Linked DNA regions of Daphnia pulex. The protein of the gene in region 3 purifies or fractionates together with the protein of the main gene of each other region. This does not show direct contact. Links are inferred from orthologs where the notes say so. Each region holds a gene or a part of one and is shown on either strand. Other genes may lie near its edges.

Evidence for each region.
Region 1: the proteins of regulator of nonsense transcripts 1-like (region 3) and 5'-3' exoribonuclease 1-like purify together in Homo sapiens (affinity purification with western blotting; 4 studies listed by BioGRID and IntAct, with this or other methods). This does not show direct contact. The link is inferred for Daphnia pulex from reciprocal best matches to the Homo sapiens genes UPF1 and XRN1.
Region 2: the proteins of regulator of nonsense transcripts 1-like (region 3) and protein CASC3-like purify together in Homo sapiens (co-immunoprecipitation; 5 studies listed by BioGRID and IntAct, with this or other methods). This does not show direct contact. The link is inferred for Daphnia pulex from reciprocal best matches to the Homo sapiens genes UPF1 and CASC3.

What each region holds. Positions count from the first base shown.
Region 1 is NC_060026.1:2,432,261-2,436,012, reverse strand, and holds the start of 5'-3' exoribonuclease 1-like, read left to right. Parts: upstream 1-1,566; 5' UTR 1,567-1,772; coding exon 1,773-1,847; intron 1,848-1,911; coding exon 1,912-2,043; intron 2,044-2,099; coding exon 2,100-2,246; intron 2,247-2,303; coding exon 2,304-2,465; intron 2,466-2,521; coding exon 2,522-2,686; intron 2,687-2,753; coding exon 2,754-2,921; intron 2,922-2,986; coding exon 2,987-3,256; intron 3,257-3,316; coding exon 3,317-3,657; intron 3,658-3,725; coding exon 3,726-3,752. Other genes in the region: uncharacterized RNA-binding protein C660.15-like, read right to left, coding at 57-200, 270-439, 514-754. UniProt on the Homo sapiens protein: Major 5'-3' exoribonuclease involved in mRNA decay. Required for the 5'-3'-processing of the G4 tetraplex-containing DNA and RNA substrates. The kinetic of hydrolysis is faster for G4 RNA tetraplex than for G4 DNA tetraplex and monomeric RNA tetraplex.
Region 2 is NC_060026.1:13,506,775-13,510,526, forward strand, and holds the start of protein CASC3-like, read left to right. Parts: upstream 1-1,025; 5' UTR 1,026-1,413; intron 1,414-1,429; exon of another isoform or gene 1,430-1,708; 5' UTR 1,709-1,755; coding exon 1,756-1,845; intron 1,846-1,912; coding exon 1,913-2,931; intron 2,932-3,000; coding exon 3,001-3,171; intron 3,172-3,241; coding exon 3,242-3,752. Other genes in the region: beta-1,3-glucan-binding protein-like, read right to left, coding at 157-291, 345-541. UniProt on the Homo sapiens protein: Required for pre-mRNA splicing as component of the spliceosome. Core component of the splicing-dependent multiprotein exon junction complex (EJC) deposited at splice junctions on mRNAs.
Region 3 is NC_060017.1:7,856,038-7,859,789, reverse strand, and holds the start of regulator of nonsense transcripts 1-like, read left to right. Parts: upstream 1-1,173; 5' UTR 1,174-1,352; coding exon 1,353-1,538; intron 1,539-1,598; coding exon 1,599-1,850; intron 1,851-1,913; coding exon 1,914-2,086; intron 2,087-2,150; coding exon 2,151-2,536; intron 2,537-2,594; coding exon 2,595-2,699; intron 2,700-2,761; coding exon 2,762-2,864; intron 2,865-2,924; coding exon 2,925-3,084; intron 3,085-3,156; coding exon 3,157-3,440; intron 3,441-3,499; coding exon 3,500-3,752. Other genes in the region: uncharacterized protein LOC124197441, read left to right, coding at 42-166. UniProt on the Homo sapiens protein: RNA-dependent helicase required for nonsense-mediated decay (NMD) of aberrant mRNAs containing premature stop codons and modulates the expression level of normal mRNAs.

The DNA.
Region 1 (3,752 bases), on a different chromosome or scaffold from region 3:
ACAAAGTCAGTCAGATTTCGTCCGGAATTGAATTAAAGGCGAGAATGAGATCTCACCGCTTTCGAGTTGGGAATTTTCACGTCACACCATCGGCCGTCGATAAGGTGCCGCTGAGAAAGGACGCGGACTTGAGAATCGTAATTGGCGAATCGTATGAAGCCGAAACCTTTGCTCTGGCCAGTTTTTGCATCCTTCTTGACCTGTCAACATGTAAACATTGGGTAAGAGAGTGAACTCTTTTTGTTTACAGGAGTGGTCTTGAATCGTACCTGTGCCATCAAAAGTTCACCAAAGTTTTCAAAATACACCCTCAAGTCCTGCTCGGATGTTTTCCATGGCAATCCAAGCACAATGAGGTCAGAGCACTTGAGCCTCATTTCCATCCGTTTGGTTTTGGCTGTGGAGTTTTCTGGATGGTCATCTGACTTTCGTTTGTTTTCTGTTTTGAAATGCACACAAGAAACCGTCTTAGTCTAGTTGAAAAACCAAACAAAGTTTGACATGCATCATTACCTTTGGGGAAAACACATATGTAGACGTGGTTCCCCCAGCCATCCTCTGGCGGCTGGAACCTTCCTTCTAGAAGTCTGACACCTCTCATTGAGCGAGATTCTGGGGCTCTGTACTTGAGGCCCGAAACACCTGGAAATTGGGCAGCCAAGGTGCTGAGCAATAGCGCACTGTCATCCTCAGTGGGTAATTCTATGGGCTCCTCAGTCTCATCCTCAGCAACTTGAATGTAGCTGCAGCTCATTTTCGGGCGACTAAATAAACTGACGAGATACTCACGACTTTTACAACAACCAATCGTACGGGCATATGATCATCGCAAACGGGGAATGAATGCTATCGTTTCCATCGACGCCGACTCTAGCTGTACACAACTGGGACCAGGAAGGAGGGGGGGGGGGAGAGAAGAAGCCGATTTTTTTTTTACACTCGGAAAGAAACACACACACAACACTCTCAATTCCACACTTTGCACACCCTCTAATTACAAAACCTGACTCTAGAGTTCATCACATTCAACCATTTACAGCCAGATTCTCTCTCAGGCATCAAACTTTTGCACGGCCAACCCAACACATCCATCCATTCCATACGAAAGTTAAGGTAAAGCAGTCGACGCCATTCTGGATTTTTTTCCCTTCCCCAACCCCCTAGGACCCGGAACAAAAACGTCACAGCCAAAACTCATTGTCACTATGTTATTATTTTGACATTTGAAGACATTGTCGCTGCTGGAAGGCTGAGCTTAGCATAAATATTCCGATTATTTCAAACTCACTGCCAATTCCTATCGGATCATCCCATTTTTAATATCAAAATAGAAGAAACGATTGTAAATAAAGTCGAGGGTCATTCTCATTTGCTGATGCAGCGCAATAGATTTTAGAAAATGACATTTTACATTCTTGATGCGTTTTCAATTTCACTGCAAAATTCGGAATATCTTCTAATCAAAGAACTTTTTTTTTATTATTTTATCTAACGGTAAAATAAAAAAGAAGAGCTTAAAAAATAAACAAATAAATAACCGGTCGGAATCCTATGAGAAAATGTTGCAATGTCGCTTTTGGCTGGTTTTGCATTGTCTCGGTGTTTGTATGGTTGTATGCTAAATAAAAGCTCATATCGTAGGCTCGTAGCTCATCACTTATAGCCGCCGTAAAACTCACTACGAGAACTTGTCCGAGATATATAAAGTTATAAAGATTGCATTGTGTTGATTGACATATTAATTTCTCAGTCGTTTCTTACAAATTTGCAATATGGGTGTCCCCAAGTTTTACCGGTGGATCAGCGAACGCTATCCTTGCCTAAGTGAAACAGTAAAAGAATATCAGGTATGCTTAAGATTTAAATTAGCAATATAAATGTGTTGTATTTCATAAATTTCTGAATGATTAGATACCTGAATTTGACAATTTATACCTGGACATGAATGGAATTATTCACAACTGCTCCCACCCCAACGACGAAGATGTTCACTTCAGAATCTCTGAAGAAAAAATTGTTTCTGACATATTTCACTATTTGGAGGTAAGTTACTGACAGTAGTTTTGTGTGACAACCTGTTAAACTTTATTTTCATGCAGGTCCTGTTTCGCCTCATTAGACCCCAAAAGGTCTTCTTCATGGCAATTGATGGAGTTGCCCCTCGTGCCAAAATGAACCAGCAGCGTGGTAGAAGGTTCCGCTCAGCTAAGGAAGCTGAGGATAAAGAAAAAGAAGCTCTGAGAAAGGTATATAAATTGATCAATCATCTATGAACAATGTTTTAACAAGTTGATCTAATTTAGGGTGAGGTTTTGCCAGAAGAGAAAAGATTTGACTCCAATTGCATCACTCCTGGAACTGAATTCATGGACAATCTGCAAAAACAGTTGCAATTTTTTGTCACCAATAAAGTATCTACTGATCCTCTGTGGCAAAATACGCAAGTCATTTTGTCTGGACATCAGGTAATTTAGTCAACCATTTACACAACATGAAATCTTGCTCAACTCACTTTTCACAGGTTCCTGGAGAAGGTGAGCACAAGATTATGGAGTTTATTCGATTTCAAAGAAGTCAACCAGACTACAACGCCGAGACTCGTCACTGTCTTTATGGGTTAGATGCTGATCTCATGATGTTGGGTTTGTGCTCTCACGAACCATATTTCTCCTTGCTCCGTGAAGAAGTACGAAGGTCTGCTTTTTGTTTTAAAACGAGTCGAGAACTAATTTTTTGTTGTTGCACCGAAATAGGTTAGATTTGGTGGAAAGAAAAATGAAAAGAGGATTACGACTCCTGAGGAGACTACATTTCATTTACTGCATTTGTCACTATTCCGTGAATATTTGGATCTTGAATTTGCCTCTGTGAAGCCTAAATTGAAATTTCCCTACGACTTGGAGCATATTATTGATGACTGGGTAAGCTATAGTTTAAACCCATTTAAAAAAATTCACGCATAATTTAAGTGAAATTTTCCTTGTAGGTCTTGATGGGATTTTTGGTTGGAAACGATTTCATTCCTAATCTTCCACATTTCCATATCAACAAAGGCGCATTACCGCTACTCTACTCGGCTTACATGGAAGTTCTACCCACTCTGGATGGGTATATTAACGAGAACGGTCAGCTGAACTTGCCACGGTTCGAAAAGTTTATGGAACGTCTAGCGCTCATAGACTACGAAAATTTTAATGACACCTTCGCTGATGTCAAATGGCTGGAGAGTCGACACGGTCGCAAGAAACTAGTCGAGGTAGCCGCATCTTAGATTAATTTTAGCATCTTCGATTGCATTCCTTTTTTCTATTTTTAGTACGAGTTTGAAAAAAAACCGCCTACTGTACGACCCTCTGATACTGCCAGCTTTTTGCTTGCCAAGGCTGCTGAAGTTGACGATCTCTTGAGAGAAGATAGCGCCGATTCTGATGAGATTGTTGTTGACAAGCTTGTCGACGCCTCAGCTTGTATCACGGAAAGCGGAGAAGAAACGGAACCTGATATTGACGAGGAAACCAATGATGAGGAAGGAGAAAGTTACGTTTCCGACGATGACGAGTACACGTCGGCCGACGAAGACAAGCAATTTCAGCTGGAATTCAAAGCCCACAAGAGGAATTATTACATGGAAAAAATGGAATACAGCGAAGTCGACAGGTAAATTGTATTTCTTTAAATGTCGAATAACAATGTTGACATTAAATTGACAACTAATTTTTTTTTAGTGATGTCCTTCGGGATCAAGCCGAGGG
Region 2 (3,752 bases), on a different chromosome or scaffold from region 3:
TAAATTTATTCTGATTCTGAATTAAAGGTTCTGGAAGCCTGGCCCAGAACAGCGTACACTCCCCCCACATCCCTCCCCCTCCTACACACCCAGACACCCGCATTTACTTTAATGCCTTCTGGTAGTACAAGTACTACCCTCAGGGATAATAATTACACATAGCAACCGCCATCGATGTCCACATTGCAGCCTTCCTTATACAAATCAAGTGTGCCATTGTACAGAAAAGCCTCGCCAAAACGATCCGCTGTCAATGTTGGCTTGATGTATAGGATCCCATCTCGAACGTAACTTTAAATTGAAATGAGTTATTTCCATTTTGAAATTCAATTTGAAAATAATACCTGTTTTCGGGTAGATTGTCGTAATATTGGAATTCACTGTTGCCCCCTCGCCATGCTGTAATTAGGTGCTTCCATTTGTTTGTGTCAAGAAATTCAAAATCATCTTGCCAGAGGATTGGTCCGCGCGCTTGGTTGTCAATGCTAGATCCGTGACAAACTGCCAGAGCAAAAAGGGCGATAATAGAGAGCTTCATCATGGCTTTGGCAGTGAACGGTAAGGAGAATATTTATAATTCTGACTGTTACCGGTTAAAGAATGAACGTAACATAGCTTTTATACTTTACCACAAGGACATATAGGATTTGAATCAGAAAATATTTTTTATCAATTCATGACATAAGCAAGACTCATTACACTTTGACCGCAAGATGCTAAATATTTTGACCTTTGAAAATATGGTGTAAAGGATTTTTGTTTGTAACGACGAGTATCCGGGTGGATTCAAGTCGAAATAAAATACAGCTTAGGTTATTCAAACATTTTTAAAACTGAACTATTTTTTTTTTTACTGTTTTACATTTATTCCCAATGTCAATTAAAAAATATTTTTCCTCGTCACCGTGGTATGTTTCTAGTACCGCTATACTTGAACTGAATAAAAAATAATCAATTCAAATGTAGTCAAGCGGACTTGGAAGGAACGTGATCGCGACGTGACAAAAACGTGATTGAAATGTGGAACAGCATTACGTAATAACACAAATTCTGTGTGTGATGTAGTGGTTAATAGACTAATAGTTTCCAGTAAGTAAAGGGGTTCAACGTTCTTTTTTCCCCCGACTCTTGTCTGTTATTTTACTTTGAAACAATATCCGGTAAGCCACCGGAATTGCCAAACAGTTATTGGTACTGTTATTCTGTACTGAAGGTTAAGAACACATATAACACTATAATAAATCCGGCTATATTCATAAGTATGAAATTTAATTGAAAGTACTTTAATTAACATGTTTATACGCTCCGACTCCGAGTAAATAACATAACCTAAATAAGGAGAGAAACACTGCGAGGCAACGATAGCGTTATCAGCCTACAGCTATCGACGAAAGAGGATACAAAAAAAGAAAGGTAAAATATTTACTTTTTTGTTTTTTTCTGAAAAGGGCCAACCACCCAACAACTTGGGTTGGTTGTTGGTATGCTCCGAATGTCCGCAGTCCTCCGCACCTTGATTTTCTATAACAAGCCAGTGATTGTGTTGTAAGGTCGATCTGGCAATGTTTTTCCCAGCCCCGTATTACTTTTAGGCGACTTTCATCTGTAATCTACACTTTCTAATCTATTTCGTCAAGCAATTACTTTTTAAAGCTATATTACTTATGACTGTAGAAAAATTTCACTATATTTAGTGCTCAACTCTTAGGATTTGGGTGGGGCTTTCAGTATAAACAAACAATTCAACCGGAAAACATGGCCGACGACGACAGCAGGCGTGGTGTAACCAGTGTGGCAGATGCCGACTCGGCTGAGCAAAGCACTAACAGCGGTGACAATCCACAGGTGAAAATAGTTGTGTTAATTTGACAACCAAAACAATGTCCAATAATATTTCCCATTGTCTGTTTAGGCTGAATCAAAAGCGGTGACAGATGACGTTGCAGTTGCCAGTCAACCCACTGAGGAGACACCAGAAGACAAGACGATTCCAGATGCCCCCAAAGCTTCTGCAGAGGTGATCACGTCTGCCACAAGAGATTCAGAAGAAACCAAAAATCGGTTGGCCAAGGCCAGAGAAGAGCTTAACAAAGCAAGAGAGGAATCGGCTAGAGCTAGGGATGAAGTTGAAAAAGCAAAAAAAGATCTTGCTGTGGCTAAGCAGGACACCTCAGCAACAATCCAAGTTGCAGTTGAAAAGCCATCAGCAGAAGTCAATGTTGCTGCTTCAGAATCCACCCCGAAAGTCGAAACAGAAATAGAAAAGCCTAGTAAAGCGGAAGAAGCTCCAGCTGTCACTGAACATGTTGAGAACAGCAAGAAAGAGGAAAAACCAGAGATACAACCAGAAACCCCTAAAGAAGAAAAGCTGGTACCCGAAGATTCCAAAAACTCAAATCAAAATTGTGAAGCTACTGAACCAAACGAGGAAGTTGGAGAAGAAAAACCTGTCACAGCCCATGAATCTCAGTCAGCAGTAGAAACTAAAACAGTCGAAGAGGAAGCTAAGGTAGAAGACACAGTAGTGACTGCTGACAATTCAAATGCCACCAAGGAAATTCAAGTAGAGAGCAACAAAGAGGTGGAAACACCAGTTGGAGCAACAGAGGAAGTGCAAGAAGAGTCTCATGTGGAAGAAAAACAACCTGAAAGCAGTAAAGACGAAGAAGGTGAGATAGTTGAAGGTGAAAACGAAGAAGGTGAGCTAGTTGAAGATGAAGAAGGCGAAGAAGTTGAAGGAGAACATGAAGAAGAAGAGGTTGTAGAAGGTGAACGGGAAGAAGGCGATGGAGAAGAAAGTGACGACGAAGATGCTCCAGCCAAGCCGTTAGATGATGATGAAGACCGTCGAAACCCTCAATATATTCCAAAAAGAGGTGGCTTTTATGAACACGATGACCGAAATCGTGAAGAAGTTGAAGAGGCAGCTGCGTAATTATAACAAGTTTCCCCTTTAACTTGTTTCATTTAAAATAATATTATTTTTTAACATTTTTGCAGTGAAGAGCCTGTAGCCGGAGTAGAGGTGGAAAAGCCGAAGAAGACGAGAAGTGAAGCCATCGATCGTTGGGGTCATGATATGTTTGACCCAAATCAGCAAGTGCCCAAGAGTGATCAAGAGTTGGTTGATCTCTATGGATACGACATTCGCCAGGAAGAAGGAGCTCCGAGGTATAATGCACGTCTATTGAGTTAGCAAGCACTTGTTTTTACTAACCGTCTGGGGAATCTATTTTTACAGGGCGCGCCGTCGCAGACGTTATGGTCGTGGCCCAAACAAGTACGATCGTACATGGGAAGATGAAGATGCTTATTCTCGGCCTCGCGGACGTGGTGGTGTTGCCTCAAGAGGTGGTCCCTCAGAACGTGGCTCTGGATTTGAACGCAATCCCGATTCCCGTCCGCGCACGCAGCGCCAAGAAATGCCCAAAAAGGATGAATTCCCCGCATTATCGGATGGCAAACAGGAGCCCAAGGCCCAGGGAGAGACTGCCCCAAAGCAATCTTCCCAATCCAATTGGAGAGAAGGTGAAAGAGGAATTGGAATGACTGGAGGCAACGAACGTCGCGGCGGTGGTAACAGCAACAATAGCAATAACAGTAAGGCGAACGCTGTTTCTTATCGACGTGGAGGAGGCGGACGAACATTCGAAGAGCGTCGAGAAATGAGAGAAGCCAAAGGACTTAGAGCCCGAAGTGACAGTGTGCCACAGTCTGGTGAAGGAGATGAAGAACAGTCTGCTGACCAACCT
Region 3 (3,752 bases):
TAATGAAAGTAATATTTTGGTTCATTACTTATAATTTTCAGCTGCATTAAATAATTCAAGTCAATCCATCAGGGACGTCGAATTTACTTCCGGTGATTCATCACTAACAACTTCAGTTTTCGTGTTCATCTGTTGTACCCTTACTGTAGTGTGTTTAGGTGAATAATTGTCATAATAAACCAAAAATTTTCAATAAATACTTGATGTATTAACCTTGGTTAACAGGGGCACAAACATATTACCATTTTCTTCGTAATAATTTAATCAAACACAACATTTTCACAAATGGAGATTTTCTTTTTTACAAAGGAAGGTACACAAATTGTATCTTTTCGCTCACTAGGGCCTACTGATTGAGGTTATATTGGAAAGTGCTGTTCTCTGAACTTGACTGTTACTAGGAACGACCGGTAAGTTATTTTTCTTTGCTTTTGCCGCTGCGGCTGCTACGGCACGAGCAGCTTTCTTGCAAGTGTCATACTTCCAAAGCTTTGTTATTCTTTTTGGGGGATTAGTTTGCGACTTGATGCACGATTCGTGGAATGTTTTTCTCTTGAAATTGTTGTCTGCACAAATAACTTTCCCAAATAACGTGTTTTGGCCTCAATACTAAGTCCACTGGCATAATTAGACAGTGACATAGTTAAACACTAACACTATAACGAACTAATATATAAATAAAACACATCACAACTTCAAAACAACCCCCTTTTCTATCACTATTTTTCAAAAAAATTCATATTTCGCAGAACAAACACAAGTCACTCGTAGCAGACAAAAATACATGAGTTGCTGCGTTGCCACGATGGCAACAAATGTTAAAAAAGATGTCGAACAGCCCTATATGTCTACGAGAAATGAAATGTCTTTTTCTCTGAAACCACTGGCTTCCTAATTCTGTGACTCAATTATTATCTGAATCGTGGTTTAAGACCTGTTTCTACTTCATTAATTCTTTTCTGTATAACAATGTAACTATAACCTGCAAGCAATATTTAAATCACGAATGTGAACAATAATAATTTGTGACTGGGCACAAAAAGTACCATAGGAGCACATAATCTGGCGATCCCGAAAATCTTTATCTATAAAGCGTTGTTATTTAGCTTAGATCTAAGTGTGTTTGTTTGTGTGCCACTGTGCCTATCTAATGTGCAACACAACTGGTATTTCATTACATTTTTCAAAAGATTGCGCAAGAGGGCGGTTGCATCAACCATCAAGCCGAGAGATGGCGCTTCGATCGCACTAAAGGAAAAGGGAAAACTCGCACAGCCGTGAAAACACACATGCGAGTTTCGTTCCGTAAGAGATTGTAATTGACGTCATTAATTGCTATACCATTTGGCAAAATGAGTGTGGACACTTTTGGGCCCAATTCGCAAACGCTCACGTTTCTCGACACCGAGGAAAATGATTTACTTGGGGCAGACACTCAGGGAACTGATTTCGATTTTCGCGATTTTACTTTGCCGAGTCAAACCCAGGCTTCACAAATTGATCATGCCAGCCTTCACAAATCAATGGGAAAACATCAGGTAAGAAATCCTGCCTGGTGAAACTTTGAAAACATTTCTGTAATTTGTGGTCATTTTCAGGCGAATGGGCTGGACACGATTGATTCTCAACTTGCTACTGCAATGAAAAATTTGAACGATCTCCAGTTTGAGGAAGAAGATGAAGAGGGCTATTACAGCAAAGATTTGCCACCACATGCATGCAAGTATTGCGGCATCCATGATCCTGGTTGTGTTGTAATGTGTAATATTTGCAAGAAATGGTTTTGCAATGGCAAAGGTAATACTTCTGGCTCTCACATTGTTAATCATCTTGTACGAGCCAAACACAAGGTAAAAATATTTTAAAAATATAAATCTTAATCCTTGTTTATAATCAAACTCTTAATTTTTCAGGAGGTTACATTGCATCGTGATGGACCGTTGGGTGAAACAGTTTTGGAGTGCTATTCTTGTGGAGTCAGAAATGTTTTTGTTTTGGGGTTCATTCCTGCTAAAGCAGATTCAGTTGTTGTGCTGCTGTGTCGCCAACCTTGTGCAGCTCAGTCATCATTGAAAGACATGAACTGGTTAGTTAAATTTACTGTGCTGTTTGTCATGTGTGGTTTTCTACTAACTTCTTCTTGCTAATAGGGACATTGAACAATGGAAACCACTTATAGCTGATCGTTGTTTCCTCAGTTGGCTTGTTCGAAGCCCTTCAGAGGCCGAACAGATGAGAGCTCGTCAATTGACGGCCCAGCAATTGAACCGTTTGGAAGAGATGTGGAAAGAGAAACCTGAGGCTAGTTTTGAAGACCTGGAACGTCCTGGCGTTGACGAAGAACCTCAGCACGTATTGCTGCGATATGAGGATGGCTATCAATATCAGAATATTTTTGGTCCGCTAGTGAAACTTGAAGCAGACTACGACCGACGAGTTAAAGAAGCCCAAACTCAAGACAACGTTCACGTTCGCTGGGATGTCGGTCTTAATAAAAAGACTGTCGCTTACTTTAGTCTTCAAAAGACAGATAGCGGTAATGCCTAATATTTATAGTTCACTAGTGTCCCTTCTCATATTTTTCGTTAATTCAGATATGAAACTGATGCATGGTGACGAATTAAGATTGCGTTACCTTGGGGAACTACACAAACCGTGGACTGGTTTGGGGCACGTGATTAAACTTCCAGACAACTACAGTCAGTCTAATATATAATAGTAATAATAATGATAATATAATATATAAATAACTATATTTTAGGCGAAGAAGTCGGAATTGAATTAAAGAATTCAAACGGAGCTCCTACAGAATGTTCCACAAATTTCGTCGTGGATTTTGTCTGGAAATCAACGTCTTTTGATAGGTAACATCCGATGAGCTCGTATTTCAAAGAGATCTAGTGACTAAGAAACATGTCTTTCAGGATGCAATCGGCCCTGCGGAAATTTGCAGTTGACGAAAGTAGCGTTTCAGCTTACATTTATCATCGTTTGCTCGGTCACGAGGTTGAAGATGTCGTATTCCGCCTACATCTCCCTAAACATTTCTCTGCTCCTGACTTGCCTGAGCTGAATCGATCTCAGGTATAAAATTTAGTTGTTACTTGATAGAACATAGAACATTCATTGCTTATCTCATAATGTTACGCTTTACAGGTTTTTGCTGTAAAACAAGCAGTTCAACGTCCATTGACATTAATTCAAGGACCTCCTGGTACCGGGAAAACGGTTACATCGGCCACCATCGTGTACCATTTGGCTAAACTAGGATCAGGGCCAGTATTAGTTTGCGCTCCGTCCAACATTGCTGTTGACCAATTGACTGAAAAGATTCATCGAACTGGTCTGAAAGTGGTCCGTTTGTGCGCGAAATCCAGAGAGGCCATTGATTCACCCGTCTCGTTCTTGGCCTTGCATAATCAAGTTCGATGTCTTGAAGGGTAAGAATTTACTTTGCGAAAATGTGTCATCGTGGGGCTAAAGTTAACTTCTATTATAGAGCTTCAGAGTTGCGAAAGCTGGTCCAGCTTAAGGAGGAAGTCGGTGAGCTTTCACAGGGAGATGAAAAGCGATACCGCATGTTAAAGCGACAAGCAGAACGAGAGCTACTCGAAGCAGCAGATGTATTAGCGTGCACTTGTGTTGGTGCTGGTGATGTTCGCTTGGCTCGCATTAAGTTTGCATCTATCTTGATCGATGAATCAATGCAAGCTACTGAACCTGAATGCATGGTCCCTGTCGTCCTAGGAGCA